Linked DNA regions of Drosophila melanogaster. The protein of the gene in region 3 interacts with the protein of the main gene of each other region in a pairwise test. Each region holds a gene or a part of one and is shown on either strand. Other genes may lie near its edges. The genes, in order: msi, CG30355, CG32631 and CG12307.

What was found.
Region 1: the proteins of CG32631 (region 3) and msi interact in a two-hybrid assay, tested with the Drosophila melanogaster proteins (one large-scale study listed by BioGRID).
Region 2: the proteins of CG32631 (region 3) and CG30355 interact in a two-hybrid assay, tested with the Drosophila melanogaster proteins (one large-scale study listed by BioGRID).
Region 4: the proteins of CG32631 (region 3) and CG12307 interact in a two-hybrid assay, tested with the Drosophila melanogaster proteins (one large-scale study listed by BioGRID).

Annotation. Positions count from the first base shown.
Region 1 is NT_033777.3:25,514,219-25,519,147, reverse strand, and holds the start of msi (musashi), read right to left. Parts: upstream 3,031-4,929; 5' UTR 2,799-3,030; intron 826-2,798; exon of another isoform or gene 676-825; intron 1-675.
Region 2 is NT_033778.4:8,678,641-8,681,789, forward strand, and holds CG30355 (uncharacterized protein), read right to left. Parts: upstream 1,314-3,149; 5' UTR 1,189-1,313; coding exon 854-1,188; intron 797-853; coding exon 571-796; 3' UTR 506-570; downstream 1-505. Other genes in the region: Acsl (Acyl-CoA synthetase long-chain), read left to right, coding at 1-228, 288-494, 1,372-1,846, 1,909-2,081, 2,145-2,408, 2,470-2,745, 2,811-2,965.
Region 3 is NC_004354.4:13,554,743-13,558,430, forward strand, and holds CG32631 (uncharacterized protein), read left to right. Parts: upstream 1-1,729; 5' UTR 1,730-1,806; coding exon 1,807-1,977; intron 1,978-2,083; coding exon 2,084-2,851; 3' UTR 2,852-3,124; downstream 3,125-3,688.
Region 4 is NT_033779.5:11,650,761-11,653,653, reverse strand, and holds CG12307 (uncharacterized protein), read left to right. Parts: upstream 1-1,643; 5' UTR 1,644-1,714; coding exon 1,715-2,263; 3' UTR 2,264-2,323; downstream 2,324-2,893. Other genes in the region: CG4983 (uncharacterized protein), read right to left, coding at 1-999.

The DNA.
Region 1 (4,929 bases), on a different chromosome or scaffold from region 3:
AATGTTTACATTAAATGTATTTGTCAATATTTGTGTTTTCATTGATATTTGTATCTGAAGCGCTTTTCCATTTCCCATAACATTGATTTGCATTATTGTTTATTAATTTTAACAATTTTTTTTGGCTTTCTGGGTTTTCTTTGGCATTTCTTTGTTTTGGCTTTACGCTTTTACTTTCGCTGTTTGGCATTCGCTTTTGCCTTTTGCTTCTCGCCTTTCAATGCTGAATTCTGAATTCTCTTTTGCCATTGCCGGCTTTTTCGACACATACACACACGCCACTGCACACACACACACACTAACACTCAAGAACTCACACACGTGCGTGCCGCTCTCAAAATGGTGATAAAATATTGTTGTTTTTGCCGTTGCGGTTTGATAATATTTCACACACGGCTTTTAATTAAAAACATTTGAGTCTTGGATCGCTTGCATAGTTTTTGTATAGTTCGCTGCCGGTTTTCGTATTAATTTTTCATAAATTTAATCGATTTGCTTGAACAAAAACACATGCACACGCATACAGAAACATAAATTCATGGCATAAAAACAAATTTCTGCGACGTCATTGAATTCGCCGCAAAAGAATATGCGAATATGTGAAAGAGAAATAAAAAACCAAAGAAGCGTCCCTCGACAAAAGAAACAAAAATGTCTTCGAGTTGAGTCACTTACACGCACACACACCAGTACGTTATACACACACTCACACACACTCGCTGGTGCAAATAAACGACGCGTGACGAAAATTACACGGGAAATATTCGCAAAAATCCACGAAATTCGACAATCCTTCCGCTTCGGGCAAGGAATTTTTTTTAACTAACGGTGAAGGAGCGGCTGCGAACTGTTTAAGGCGAGCTCAGCGAATTTCGCCGTGCTGCGCTGAAGCTCTGCCGCTCTCCCTCTCCGCTCGCTCTCCACGCTCTCTCTCTGGATTTTGGGACTCTCTCTGCAGGACGTGAATACTGAGCAGAAAAAGGAGCAACAAAAAAAGCTTGGATGCAACATGCGGCTGAGTCAGTTAATGACGTACCAACCTTTTTTTTTCTCCCCCCTTTTGTGTGTCTTTTATCGCGCCTCTACCGTCATCAAGCTGGTACTCCCCCCATAATCATTTCCGATATGCAGTTCCATGCAGTTTCCCCAGACAATAGGCCTACAATATAGCCATATAGTCGCATATAGCCAGCACACTGAGTCGCCGAACGAGCGTCTTTATAGCCCGCTTTGTTCTCCCCCCAATTTAAAGTGAGCTCTGGAATAGTGGAACACCCTCAACGATAACTCCATTATCTATCCTTCAAACATGGAAATGTTGAAGGTTTTTTAAGCAACTTTGCAGATTTTCATAAAATACGTATTCTTATAAACGTCGAAAAATATGATAAAAAAAAAACAATTAAGAGCTTACTTTGTAGCATGTATGCAACTAAATTCAGTATTTCCAAGTAATTGTTATTTATAGGCTCTAACTTACTGTCATTAAAGTGTAAAGAACAGAAACTATTTTATTTATATTTCGAAAAAAAAACCATGACTTATTTTTGAGCTGTCGTTTTAAACAATTTGCACTTTACTTTATTGGGAAAATCCTAAAATATATTTGTGGGTTACAAAATTGGAGCACTGACTGTACTTGACTTTCTGTGTTTATCTTATATTGTTTGCTCAGCTCGTATTTCTTTTAAAGCTCAGCTCGCAGCTGACGCATTTTGTTGATTTTGAATGCTTAAAACTGAGAAACAAAGAGTAATTGTTTAATTCAGTTGAAGGGAAGGATTGCCAGCTATTTCGCTTTGATTTATGTGAAATTTACAAATCAAATTTATTTCGGTTGGAAAGTGTTCAGTTATCGTATCTGTTGTTTAAGCTTAATTAATTTAATTGTCACATATTCCATGGGATTTTGAACTGTACACGGGCTTATGCGTGTTTATTTCTTTTAAATAACGACAATTTGTTAAATTGTAGTAAAATATTTCATTATCGTTAGTTCCCTAGAGCCATTTCTGATTTTCTTCAAATCTTAGGTCTCCTTTCAGTTCTTATCGTACACAACTCGTTGAGAAATACACAAAACTGAAACGCAAAATTGTTGTTGTTGATAAAACTGAGCTAGTCACCGACAACAACCACAGTAAACATTAACCACAGCTTGTAGTTTGATAATGGATTTTTCTGTTTTAAAAATTGATGGTTTTCTCCAGTGCACAAATGTTCACCAATCTCGAATCGAAATTTGATATAAATTTAATCCATTTGAATTGAATTTTGTATCAATTTATTAGTAAAGCACTTATTTAATTACACATGTTTTATTTAGTCAAATTACTGGGCTTTTTATCTCGAGCTGAGAGTTCATTGTTTTATATTATTTATACACACATATCTTGAACTCGTCTTTTGTATGGATTATCGGTCTCTTAGTCATAGCGAATTAAATTGCTTTATGTTTTGGCATTCATTAGTTAAACATATCATTAGTTAATAAACCATGAAAGTTGATTTTAGATTTAATGATAAATTTTGTTTATAATCTTAATAGCCATGAAATACATATTTTATTTAGCCGCTCAAGTCATTGATTTGAATAAAGCTTGATGGGTTGTGCATGCATGTGTAGAGAGATTTCGAATCGTATTTTTAATTAATTTGCATGCACTGGCATCCGTTTTATGGATGCGGTTTGTTCATTTAGCTTAACAATTTAACACGTAATTTAATTCAGTCATGCAACATGTCAGAAACAGATTTTCTTATTATTGTATTTTCTAGGGGCGACAAATAGGAATTACTTTAAATGCGCGGCAAACAAAATTCAAGCTTTGTTTGTTTGTTTATTTTCCATTAGCCCACTTCGGTTTCGATTTCGATTTTCGGCCCAGTCCAGAATCAAGTTAAGACCTGGCTTTATCTGCATGCACAAACGGAAATCAACGACAAAACGACGACGACACGATGAAAACGAATCCACGAATCGCTCCGCTTCGAATCAACTGGCTGTTGTAACGGTCGCAGGCAAACTGAGTCCGAAAGATACAGATACAAGTACAAGCGGCCCCCGCGGAAAAGTTCTCTCACCGCCTCTCGCTTTTTATACCTCTTCCTCTCTTTGTCGATCTATCTCTCTCGGTTGTTTGTCGTTTGCGGCAAGCATAATAAAATAAAACAAGTGGTCGAGTTTTCCAACTTGCAGATACCCGGTTTTTAGATACAATAAGTTTTAGATACACTAAGCTTAACTTCCCAATGATAAATATAATTTAAAAAATTACTTTAGGAATTTTATTTAAAAAATAGATATAATATAAAATATATTTTAAAATAATACTCTGCAAACGCAATATACTCTGGGAATTTCTGAAGTACAGGGTAATCCAAAAGGAGAGCGGAATCGTTCTCTCTCTTGCGATGCGATGGCAACAACCACCCACAACATAAGCGGTTCACTCGCCCCCACCACACCACCAGCGAAGGAACAAAAACAAGCAAACTCTCTCTCCCATAAACTGAGAGCGCGTTGTTGTTTGCGGCGAAGTCGCTCAAAAAACGCCATTTGGGGAGACAGCAACAACTTTTGGGACTCATACTGTTGTCCCGTTCGCACTCGAGCGCTCTCTAACTTCCGGTCCCGTATGCTGCGACGTAGTGTTGTTGCTGTGGCTTTTTCAGTGGGGAAATGAAAATGAGCATCATTTGGTATTTACTTGGTATTTTTCGGTACTTTAAAATTGTTGCTTAAGTGCAATAAAAAATTTAATTTAATTAATTTGAAGGAAATGCTTGTAATATTGTAATTTTTATTTAACACACACTTTATTATTATTTTACCTTTACCATTTTTATATGATTGTTAAACAACGACTTAATCCCAGTTTATAGCTTATTTTATAGCGTTTTTGTCGCCTGTTGCACCCACCGCAATTACCAAATGTCGGCACGCCCCCGCAAAATTCAAAATTTACACAAATTTTTTGCAAAATCGCAGACGGGCGCTCCCAAATCAGAAGAAAAAAATCTAAAACAATAATTTCAGCGGCTTATTAGACGGCCTAAAAACATCAAAGGCCTACCCATTCCTAAGCAAGATTTCATGAAATTTGCTCCTTTTTTTATTTTCTTTATAATTCACAACAAAACGCGCAACAAGCGCAACGAGTTTTCTGCAATCGAGCAGCTGACGGCGAAAAAGAGTTTTTTTCTGTAATATATTTTCCCTTATTTTGTTTGGTCCATTTTTTCATGTTGGTTCCTTTTTTGTCGGGACACAAGAAACTTGTTTGCAGAGCTTCGGGCGATAAAGAAGGAGAAATATATAACAATAGCAACAGCAACAACAGTGACTGAGGCAGACAGGTCAAAGGAGCAGTTTTTGCCCCTGCCACGCCTCCATTTCGTCTACATCTTAACCGCCCACCGCCTGCCACGCCCCCGCCGAAGCAGCAATAAATTCTGCCAGAAAGCGTCTTCGATTAGTTCGGAAATGGCGAGAGAAGTGACTGAAACGAATAAAAAGAAAATGTTCTTAGAAAAAGTCGTCATACGTCTTCTGGACTAAGAGATACCTCTTAATTCATTATAAAAGATTTTAGAATAAGTTATTGGAATTTAGAATTAAAAACAATTATACAACAATTATAACAACTGAAATATTTTAATACCATACATTTTAGATTATTGACAGTTACCACACTTTTTAATAGATGTAGATTGCCCAAAGACCCCAAGATCCATTCAGGAATACAGGACAACAGGACAAAATAAGCCATTGATCTATATCAATGGCAATATCTAGTCTGCAACTGATGTTCCCAGAGTTTATTACCGCTCAAAGGTAGAAATTTATAGCAAACTGCGCATTCAGCAAATTTGGGTCATAAAAGTAATTAGTGAAATCTGTTCCAGTACAGATTGGTATTTGTGGGT
Region 2 (3,149 bases), on a different chromosome or scaffold from region 3:
AGAAGTACAACCTCGGTGACTACAAGTGGAAGACGTTCACCGAGGCGGAGCGCACGGCGGCTAATTTCGGGCGCGGTCTGCGAGAACTTGGCCAGAAACCACGCGAGAACATTGTCATCTTTGCCGAAACGCGAGCCGAATGGATGATAGCTGCCCACGGATGCTTTAAGCAGGCTATGCCCATTGTCACTGTCTATGCTACGCTGGGCGATGATGGAGTTGCTCATTGTGAGTAAATTGGCTTACCATGTGTATGGTTTTTAAATAATATTTTGCTCTGTTGCCAGGCATCACCGAAACGGAAGTCACCACGGTTATCACCTCCCATGATCTGCTGCCCAAGTTTAAGACGCTGCTCGACAAATGCCCATTGGTGAAGACTATTATCTATATTGAGGATCAGCTGCAAAAGACAGAAACCACTGGCTTCAAGGAGGGCGTCAAGATCTTGCCGTTTAACCAAGTTGTCAAGACAGGACAGGACAGTAAATTTGGTACGTTTTGAAAGGGTCTTAAAAGATGATTTATTTATGTCAATTACACGATAAATTTGCTAAAATGCATCGTGTTTCACACCGAAAATGGTGTGGGCTCGACGTGTTCACCATCGGCGTTATCCTCAGGCGCCCGAGCCGTTGCCATCGATGTGGATGCAACCGGCTTCTGCGCATCATTATCATCCACAACATTGCTCATCCTTTCGAGGTTATCAATGTCATCTCTTTCGGTTGATCTGTTTTCACTATCAGAGCCTTGTGCTAATTCTGCTTCCGGCAAGTGGTTGCAATAGCGCCATCTAATCGAGACAGAATGTGTTGATGGGTCATCCAGTGTTTTAATCTACAACTCTCACCTCATGTCAGTACTGGAAAAACCGACGGGTTGCAACAGAATCGGCTTCGTTTGTTCTACATATTCGTTCACAAGACTGGAACCAGGTCCTATGATCAAATCTTCCTCCTTAGCCTCAAGGGTAACTCCTTCGGTTATCTTTTCCTCGTCTCTTTCTTGCTTAGAGGAATATGTGCGATACGCCCGAAAGATGAGAACGCCGCAGTATACGCCAAATAGTGTAAAAAATACGGAGCAGCTTCTCGGCTTTCCTGATGTTGAGCCTAGTAAAGCATTGCATTGTTGCACACAAGTCAAGGGCGTTAGGGTGATGAATTCCTCTAGGACTTCAGCCATTTCGAATGGTGTCTGAACTAAAAAATCACCCTACACAATTTGGAAAGAGTTCTTTCTGTTTACCGAAAGTATGCGCTTTTAATTCAGCACTGAAATGTTGACAGCATATGTATAGCGTGCTATGCGCAAGGAATTTGTTAAATATTAAACTAGTACTAATTGACTTTATTTTGTATCCCACAGAGCACGTTCCACCCAAGGGAGATGACATTGCCATTATCATGTACACTTCCGGATCCACTGGCACACCTAAGGGTGTCCTCCTCTCGCACAAGAACTGCATTGCGACAATGAAGGGATTTGTTGATATGGTGCCTATCTATCCGGATGATGTACTGATCGGATTCCTGCCCCTGGCTCACGTTTTTGAATTGGTTGCGGAAAGTGTGTGTCTCATGACTGGCGTTCCAATTGGCTACTCGACCCCCTTGACTCTGATCGACACTAGCAGCAAGATCAAACGCGGGTGCAAGGGCGATGCCACCGTCCTGAAGCCCACCTGCATGACTTCGGTGCCGCTGATATTGGATCGCATTTCCAAGGGTATTAACGACAAGGTTAACTCTGGCTCGGCGTTCAAGAAATCACTCTTCAAATTCCTTTACCAGTACAAAGTCAAGTGGGTGCAGAGGGGGTACAAGACGCCGCTGATTGATAAGTAAGAACGGTGTGCTCATAAATATCATGAGTTGCTAACTAAAACTATTATTTTTCTTGCAGACTGGTGTTCAAGAAGGTGGCAAAGCTAATGGGTGGCAAAGTGCGCATTATCATGTCTGGCGGAGCGCCTCTGTCAGCAGATACACATGAGCAGATCAAGACCTGCTTGTGCTTGGAGCTGATTCAGGGCTATGGCCTTACGGAAACTACGTCTGGAGCCACTGTCATGGACTGTAAGTGATCGCAGATCGACCTTTCTTTTGAAAACAAGTAAATAACTTTATACCCAATACAAGACCGTGATATGACCTATGGACGCACTGGAGGACCATTAACTGTCTGCGACATCCGTCTAGTCAACTGGGAAGAAGGCAACTACCGCGTCACAAATAAACCTTATCCCCAGGGTGAGGTTCTCATTGGTGGCGAGTGTGTCTCCCAGGGATACTACAAGTTGCCCGGCAAGACCAACGAGGATTTCTTTGAGGAGGATGGACAGAGATGGTTTAAAACCGGCGACATTGGCGAAATACAAGCTGATGGCGTACTTAAGATTATTGGTAAGTTATTTAGCACAGTGCTTTTTCTTTCATTTTTTTTATTATAATACGCTTTTTGCAGATCGTAAGAAGGATCTGGTTAAGCTGCAGGCCGGCGAGTATGTTTCCCTTGGCAAAGTTGAATCTGAGCTTAAGACTTGCGGAATCATCGAGAACATTTGCGTATACGGAGATCCGACAAAGCAGTACACAGTGGCGCTGGTCGTTCCCAACCAAAACCATTTGGAGGAGCTGGCACAGAAACATGGCCTGGGTGATAAGTCCTTTGAGGAGCTGTGCTCATCACCGATCATAGAGAAGGCTATTCTCAAGGAAATTGCTGAGCATGCGCGGAAATGTAAGCTACGATGCAGATTTGAGTATTTTTCAAAGTTTTTAATGGCAAATTGTTTAATCTTAAAGGTAAATTGCAAAAATATGAGGTTCCCGCCGCCATCACACTTTGTAAGGAGGTCTGGTCTCCGGACATGGGGCTGGTAACCGCCGCCTTCAAGCTGAAGCGCAAGGATATCCAGGACAGATATCAGCATGATATTAACCGCATGTACGCCTCATGAAAGTCAATGTACTAAGCCAGAGGTACCAGATGCAGCAACGACAACAACACGCAAACATTAAAGCAGCAGCAATGAAGCTAGTGTGTACTAATTGTTTTTAGTAGCACCCCACACAGCATAAGCATGCATACGAAATCCAAAACCAAACTAGCTTAAGTCCTAAAAGATCTAAATGCCGAGCAGT
Region 3 (3,688 bases):
TTAAGCTGGCAATGATTTTTATTTTTTTTTTTTTTTTAACCAGGAATATTATTTAGAATAATGCATAATAATTTATAATTTTCAAGCAATAATTAATTTACATTTATAGTTCCTCACATTACGTATACGCAGCGTTGCCTACTGTTTGTATTTCTAATTTTCAATTACCAGGAATGTTAAATACTCTTATCACCCCGTTCAGCAGCCAAGGGTTAAAATGCATCACTATATAATCATTTAAAACCGAAAAATGATGAAAATCAGTAAATAAGCATATGTACTGAATGAATGATGGGGGAGGGGGGGTGAGAGGGGGAGCTCAGATGCAGGATTGTAAAAATCTTTATAATCGCCACATTGTGTGTAAGCTCGTAAATGTGCTAAAGGGTATTTGGTTCGGAGTTTGTTTGTTCCAGGGGTGATCGAAGTTCATTGGTTCAGTTACCGTCTGTGTTTTTATTTAGAACATGTGTTTCATTAACATAATTAAAATTCAAATGTTACTTGCACTGCTTGAAGTGATATTTTAATATGTTTAACTATGTTTTTTTTTTTCTTTTTAATTTTTTACCTGGACTTCTTTGTCTTCGTAACCTTTGTGTCATAAAAGCGTTTTCAACGTTTTAAAGTATTATTTTTAGGGCTTGTTGCTCGACAAACCGGTTAACACTTTGAATCATTTTGGCCGCTTATTTCGTTCATAATCCTGGTTCTGCATCGATGTTTTGCACGTTTTCAAGGGCAGGCAGCTTTGTAATTTAATTCAATTTCTATTTAATTGAACCAAAGGCGTCTTTAATGTGCAACTTTTTGATTTATGAGTCCGCAACAGCAAGCGGCTGTCAAGCAACTTGTTCATTTCACTCCACTTCTTTCTTAGTTTCCCTCTCTTGCCTTCGGGAAAATTTAAAATCTTACTACGAAATTTCCATGCAAACGAAACATTTTCCGCCAGCCATGCCGCATTTTGCGTTTCCTCTTCTTTTTCTTCCTGTTTTTTTGGCACAAATTTAATTTGATTTGATTTTGGCCGCTGGACATGGCAAGCCCCAGGCAATTTGTCAAAAAGTTATATAGCTACTGTGTATTTTTATGTGCCGGCATATTTAATGACATTTTCCTCATTGCGACTTTTTTTTTTTGAATTTTCAAAAAATACAAAATACAATATCTTCTAAAATCCATGAGCAATGCCCAATTCTTGAAGTTTTTGATGGCCATGCAAGTGATGTGCCATTTGTTGAGTAAGTATATCTGTGGGCAAAGATTTCTAGCTTAGGCGTGTGCAATGTATGAGGAATTAATTTGTGTAAAATTGGCAAACAATGGAGGAGATGGGCCGAGTAAAGGTAAGCAATTTGTTTGAATTCGCTTGGTAAATTAATTGCACAGGTTTGGAAAATTAATGGACACCTGCAGATCCACCAGTGGCATTGTATGTTGGCCATTGTGTGGTTATTGAATTTAAGTTCCATAAGCATTCAAATGAAGATGCTGTAATTTTGCAGGAATATATAAATAAGTATATGGCCGTTATTAAATGCTGACCCACATTTTGTGTACTGGCAAAGCCAGTTTTTTTTTTGTTGGTTGTTAAAAACCATTTTGATTCTTGGCAAATCTGGTTCAATTAACTGCAGCCCAAAATATCATTTAATATCGCGATATGACCACAAAAATCATATATAAGAAGTGGCGAGCCTGGTCACCACAGCAAAGCGACTGAAAGCGAAGTCTGATAAAGAACAATCCTTACAAAATACAAAAAAATATATATATTTAAAAAATACAATTGAGCAACCAAACATGGCCAACATTCTAAGTTTTACCATCTTTATGGCTGCCATTGCTATTGGACTGGCTTTAGCCACAACAACGACAGCAAGTACAAGGACACCCATGCCCACTTCCACTGAAAAATCCATGGAAAAGGACGATCCCATGGAGTCCTTGGAACGCCGTGACAAACGCCAATTGGTAAGTGATTATTGAAGCAAACTAGTCGTGGCAAACTTAGGTGTAGATTTTAGGTTAAATCAATCAATTTTTAAACATTTACCTTTCCTCTTAATCGTATTCCCAGACCGCCAATGGTGGCCAGAGCAGCCTGGCTGGTTCCAGCGGCAACTATCCCGTTTTCTTCGATGGCCTTAATGTGAATCCCCCGCTGCAGCCACTGCCGCCACTGCAGCAACTTCAGCCTCTGCAGCCATTGCAGCCGATTACGGTGGTGACTCCTGTGGCCTCCAGTTCGAATGCCCAGAGCCAGCAGCCGCAGTCCGGCTGGCTGCCTCAGTTTAGCCAGAATCTTCCACTTATCGGAACCTGGGTGGGTGGCCTGCCCAATTTGATCAACGGCCTGGGACTCGGTTCGCTAAACGGCGGCTTCGGCACTCTGGGCGGCCTGAATCTGGGCAACCTGGGACTGGGTGCAGTGGCGCCGGTGGCCGCGGTGCCGGGCCAACTGCTCGGCTCGTCACCCAATCCCCAGACCACATGCCCACTCACCCAGAAGCTCAACTGCCGCTGTGAGCCGCTCGTTCAGCTGCCGGGCCTGAAGCCCAGTTCCAATCCACTGAGGACGCAGCTGGTGCAGATCATGCGGCAGAATGCGCGGAAGAACGAGGACGGTTCGCAGGAGGTGCGCGTAATCCTGAGCAGCGGACATGTGATCTACCAGCGGACGGCCAAGGATCGCGGCCAGAGTGGCTACCTTGCCATGAGAATTCAGTCGGGCAGGTACTTCAACATCTACTACAGTGTCAACGAGAAGGAGTACACGGTGCGGGCGGATGTCAAGGACACGCCACCCACCTCCGATTTTGACGACGAGCTGAGTGGTCAGTTCTAAAAATTGGTCAAAGGGATTTCCCTTTACTTACCTACAGTTTTTTTTTCTATACTTAATACTTAACTAGCCATTTTTTATATGAAATGCACTTAAACATATGTATTTGAATAAGCATTTAAACATATTTATGCTTATATGTTAAGCGTGCCCGATTTGAACCAAGCCGCCGAAATTCTTCGTAAACTCCATTAATCCCTTTTTTATTCGCAACTTTTTTTTTGAACTTAAACAACTACAAACTAGCTGCGAAAGAAATAAACTACAATGAAACACATTTTCTGACGATTGCTCCTTGGGGACAAAAAGTTTAGCTACAAAGACAAATATTCATGGGGGTGCGGCAATAAACTTGTTTTTATTGCCGAAAATGTTGTTAAAGGGTTAACAAGGTGGCAACGGGGGGGAGGTTGTTTCTTAGCCCTTAGCCCAATTTCCAAAAAAGGAACTTTCCTAATTACTGAAGCCACTTGGAAAAGAGATAAATAAATATTTACTCAGGCAATATTTAAGCAATAATTGTTCGCTTATTATTATCATTTTTCAGTATCAACTGATAATTATTCGTGAATAAAAGTTTTAACAATGGATATAGAAGTCTTTGTATTTTATAACTATTAAGTGCTCAAGTTTGTATATATGGCATAAATAGTTATAATTTTGTTTGTTTATTAGTTGCAGCAAGCCGACACCAGTTGAATCTGCTGGTCATGGAAAAACCCACAGAGAAAGAGGCCAGCAAACAAACAAAGAGCCAATGGGCAAATGGAAATCAAGCTGTAAAATGCCATATCCCTATCCCCCTCTCCACCGCCCCCCCCCCCCTCACATCTGCGCTTT
Region 4 (2,893 bases), on a different chromosome or scaffold from region 3:
AAAGTTTTCATTTCCGGCGTTTAGGCGATCCGCCATTTCGGCAGCCTGCTGGTTCAAGGACTGTCTGTAGGATAAAGCTGCTTCCGAATGAATATAGCTGGGGCCATCCTTGGATTCAGGTAGTACATTTGACTTGTTGGTCTTTGAAGGGACACGATCATTCCAAGAGTCTTGCCTTGCATTACTTGTGGCAACAACAGACGGGGCTTGTTCTTGAGAACTGGTCAGCTTCTTATCTTGCATTTTAAAATCGGAATGCTTTGGTTTTGCAGATTTTAGAGATTGTTTCGAGTCTGAGTCAGCAGGATTTAATTTGAAGGAGCGCTGCGTTCCAGTTTCTGATGGCTTATTTGAAACTTTTGATTTCATTGTGGTAGAGGAAGCTTTGGCTGCTTCTGAGAAATGTTTCGACTTCAAAATTGACTTCGGAGTGAGGGTGGTATTTGAGGAAATACTGTTGCCTATTGCAGATCGTTTCAATGTTATGTTCGAAGACTTTGAGGCCACGTCACCCTCACTTTGCTTATTTGTGCAGCTCGTCTTGGATGCCGCACTGAATTGTGATATGGATAATTTGGAATTTGCTCTACCATCACCACTGACCTGACGGTTTGACCTTATTGGCATTAGGGTGCGCAAAGAGTCCTTTGAAACCGCTTCCTTTGATTGAGATACCTTGGACAGCTTCGTTGTTGAAACACCACCCGCATCAATGCGATCTTTTTCATTGAGAACTTCGGCCTGCTTCTTGGCCACGGCCATCTCTTCATTGATGGCCTTGGAAATGTCCACCTCGCCGATAGTCGACTTGCCTATACTTTGGTTGCTCTTCCGGGAAACCAACTCCTCTGATGGTTGTACATATTCGGACTTGGGTACGAATACCGGTGGCGGATACGTAACGCATGTAGGTATTTTGAATTCAGATCGGGCTCCACTATTGGGTGGTCCCACATTGAATGGATTGAAGGGTTCTACGTCGAAGTCATCAGGAAACATGTTGGGTAGACAGGTTGGCAATTTCCTGTGGGACCTACGTGTTTGACCTTAACCTCTTAAACACCCAGAACCCACAAAAACTTACCTGATTCGGATTAAATTTTAGAAGGTATGGGCCAGGATGTGGTAATTTCTTGTGTTTGTGTCGGAAAGCCAAACTATTTTTTTCTAATTTTTGATTGGCTTTTCGATTAAGGCATCTCAAACGAACTGACACAAAAATCAGTTTATACTAGTCTTGAACAATTCCATTAAGGCAATCACTCTGTTTTAGGTTCTTTCTCTGTTATTTGTGTATACATAATTGGTGTGGCCACATGAATTCACATTGTTATTTTACATTCAAGTAATCTTGGTTATCCCTTTCTTGTTTTTCTTTTTATCTCTGACAATCTCGGGTGCCTTCTTCAAGTTCTACTCTCGGCTTAATTAAAAATGACTCCCGCTTCCTAGAGAGCTGACAAAGTTTATCAATTCGGAGTGTACGTGATGATAAGGTCGAAAATCCTCTGAGTTTTTCTTTCTTGCAAATATAGGGTGGTTGCTCAGAGTTAAGCCACATTAATTAGCAGGCCGAGGGATTTTCAAGCGAGTGCTGAGATTCTGTTGTCAGATCTATCTAAATCTCTCGTCAGTATTTTGATCAACTTTTAGGAGTGCGGTTGCTGAAATTCGAATTAGAAAATTCTAATAAAAAAAAAGAGACACCATTACAATGAAAAACTCAACTGTGCAAGACAGTTCACCGCAAGTGCCACAGAATGGCATGGTCACCTATGGCAGCGGGCTCGTCTTTGGCGGGAAAGTTTATCCGGTATTGGTGGACGGAAAGCCAATACAGCCACCCTTAGGTGCTCATCAGGCAGCAATGCAACAGCGCATGCAGATGCAGCAGGTACAGCCACAGGCGCCACATACCAACTGCCCCAAGTCCATTGTCCAACAACCTATATATCAACGAATGGAGACCCGGTATCCTGCGCCCTCATACATGTCCAAGCCAAGCCAACAGAGCTCTGTGAGTTGTCCTGGCCCAGTCATGGTGCAGCAGCACTCGCCGTCTAACAATCTCGCGATGATGCAACCGTTGCAGGCGCAGATTTTACAGCGCCAGCAAATGCAAACCTCCATGGGCAGTCCTTGCGGCTACTACAACCTGCCAACGAATGCGGGTGGTGATTCCTGCGGCTGGGACGGCTATGCCATGATGCAGCCAATGGATGCCAACAAGCCGTATACCTTTGGCTGGAGTCTTACCGATTGAGTCCTTTATCCTCTGTAACATTGTCCAAAACAATTAATGAAATTAAATGTGGATTGATTTATTCGAATTTGTTTCAATCAATGTACGTACTGCATGACTACTGTAAAAGTATTCATCTCTCTTGAAGAAGTTCCCCATAATGGCAGTTACTCGTCTGGGCTTCCATTTTGCACTTCATCGAGCTCTGAGGTTGCCCCTCGTATCAGTGGCACCTCGTTTCGGGGGTTGGTCGTCATTTAGTGGTAAATTTCCGTCTTAGTTGCCAGCGAACGTCAGACGTGACATTTTGCAAATTCCGTTTTCAGCATTTTGTCGAATCGTTCCAGCATACATGTGCCACTGAAAGTGGATTCCCAGCACCACCACCCATTTGCCTATTGATGCAGAGCTGCCGGTGGTATCAGTGGATAGGGGGGAGCATGTGTGGCAAAAGGGTTGTAACTGGTTTTCTAGTGGCTTCCGATTTTTTCACTGGCATTCAGCGACTGTTGTGATGGTAGTTTTATGAGAAGTGTCTAATGCCATTAAAATATTAAATCGTGGATTTATATATTTATCAGAATTTGCTAGGCTTTAAATTAATCGAAGATATTAGTGAACTGACATTTCCGCTTTCACATTGCTTATAGC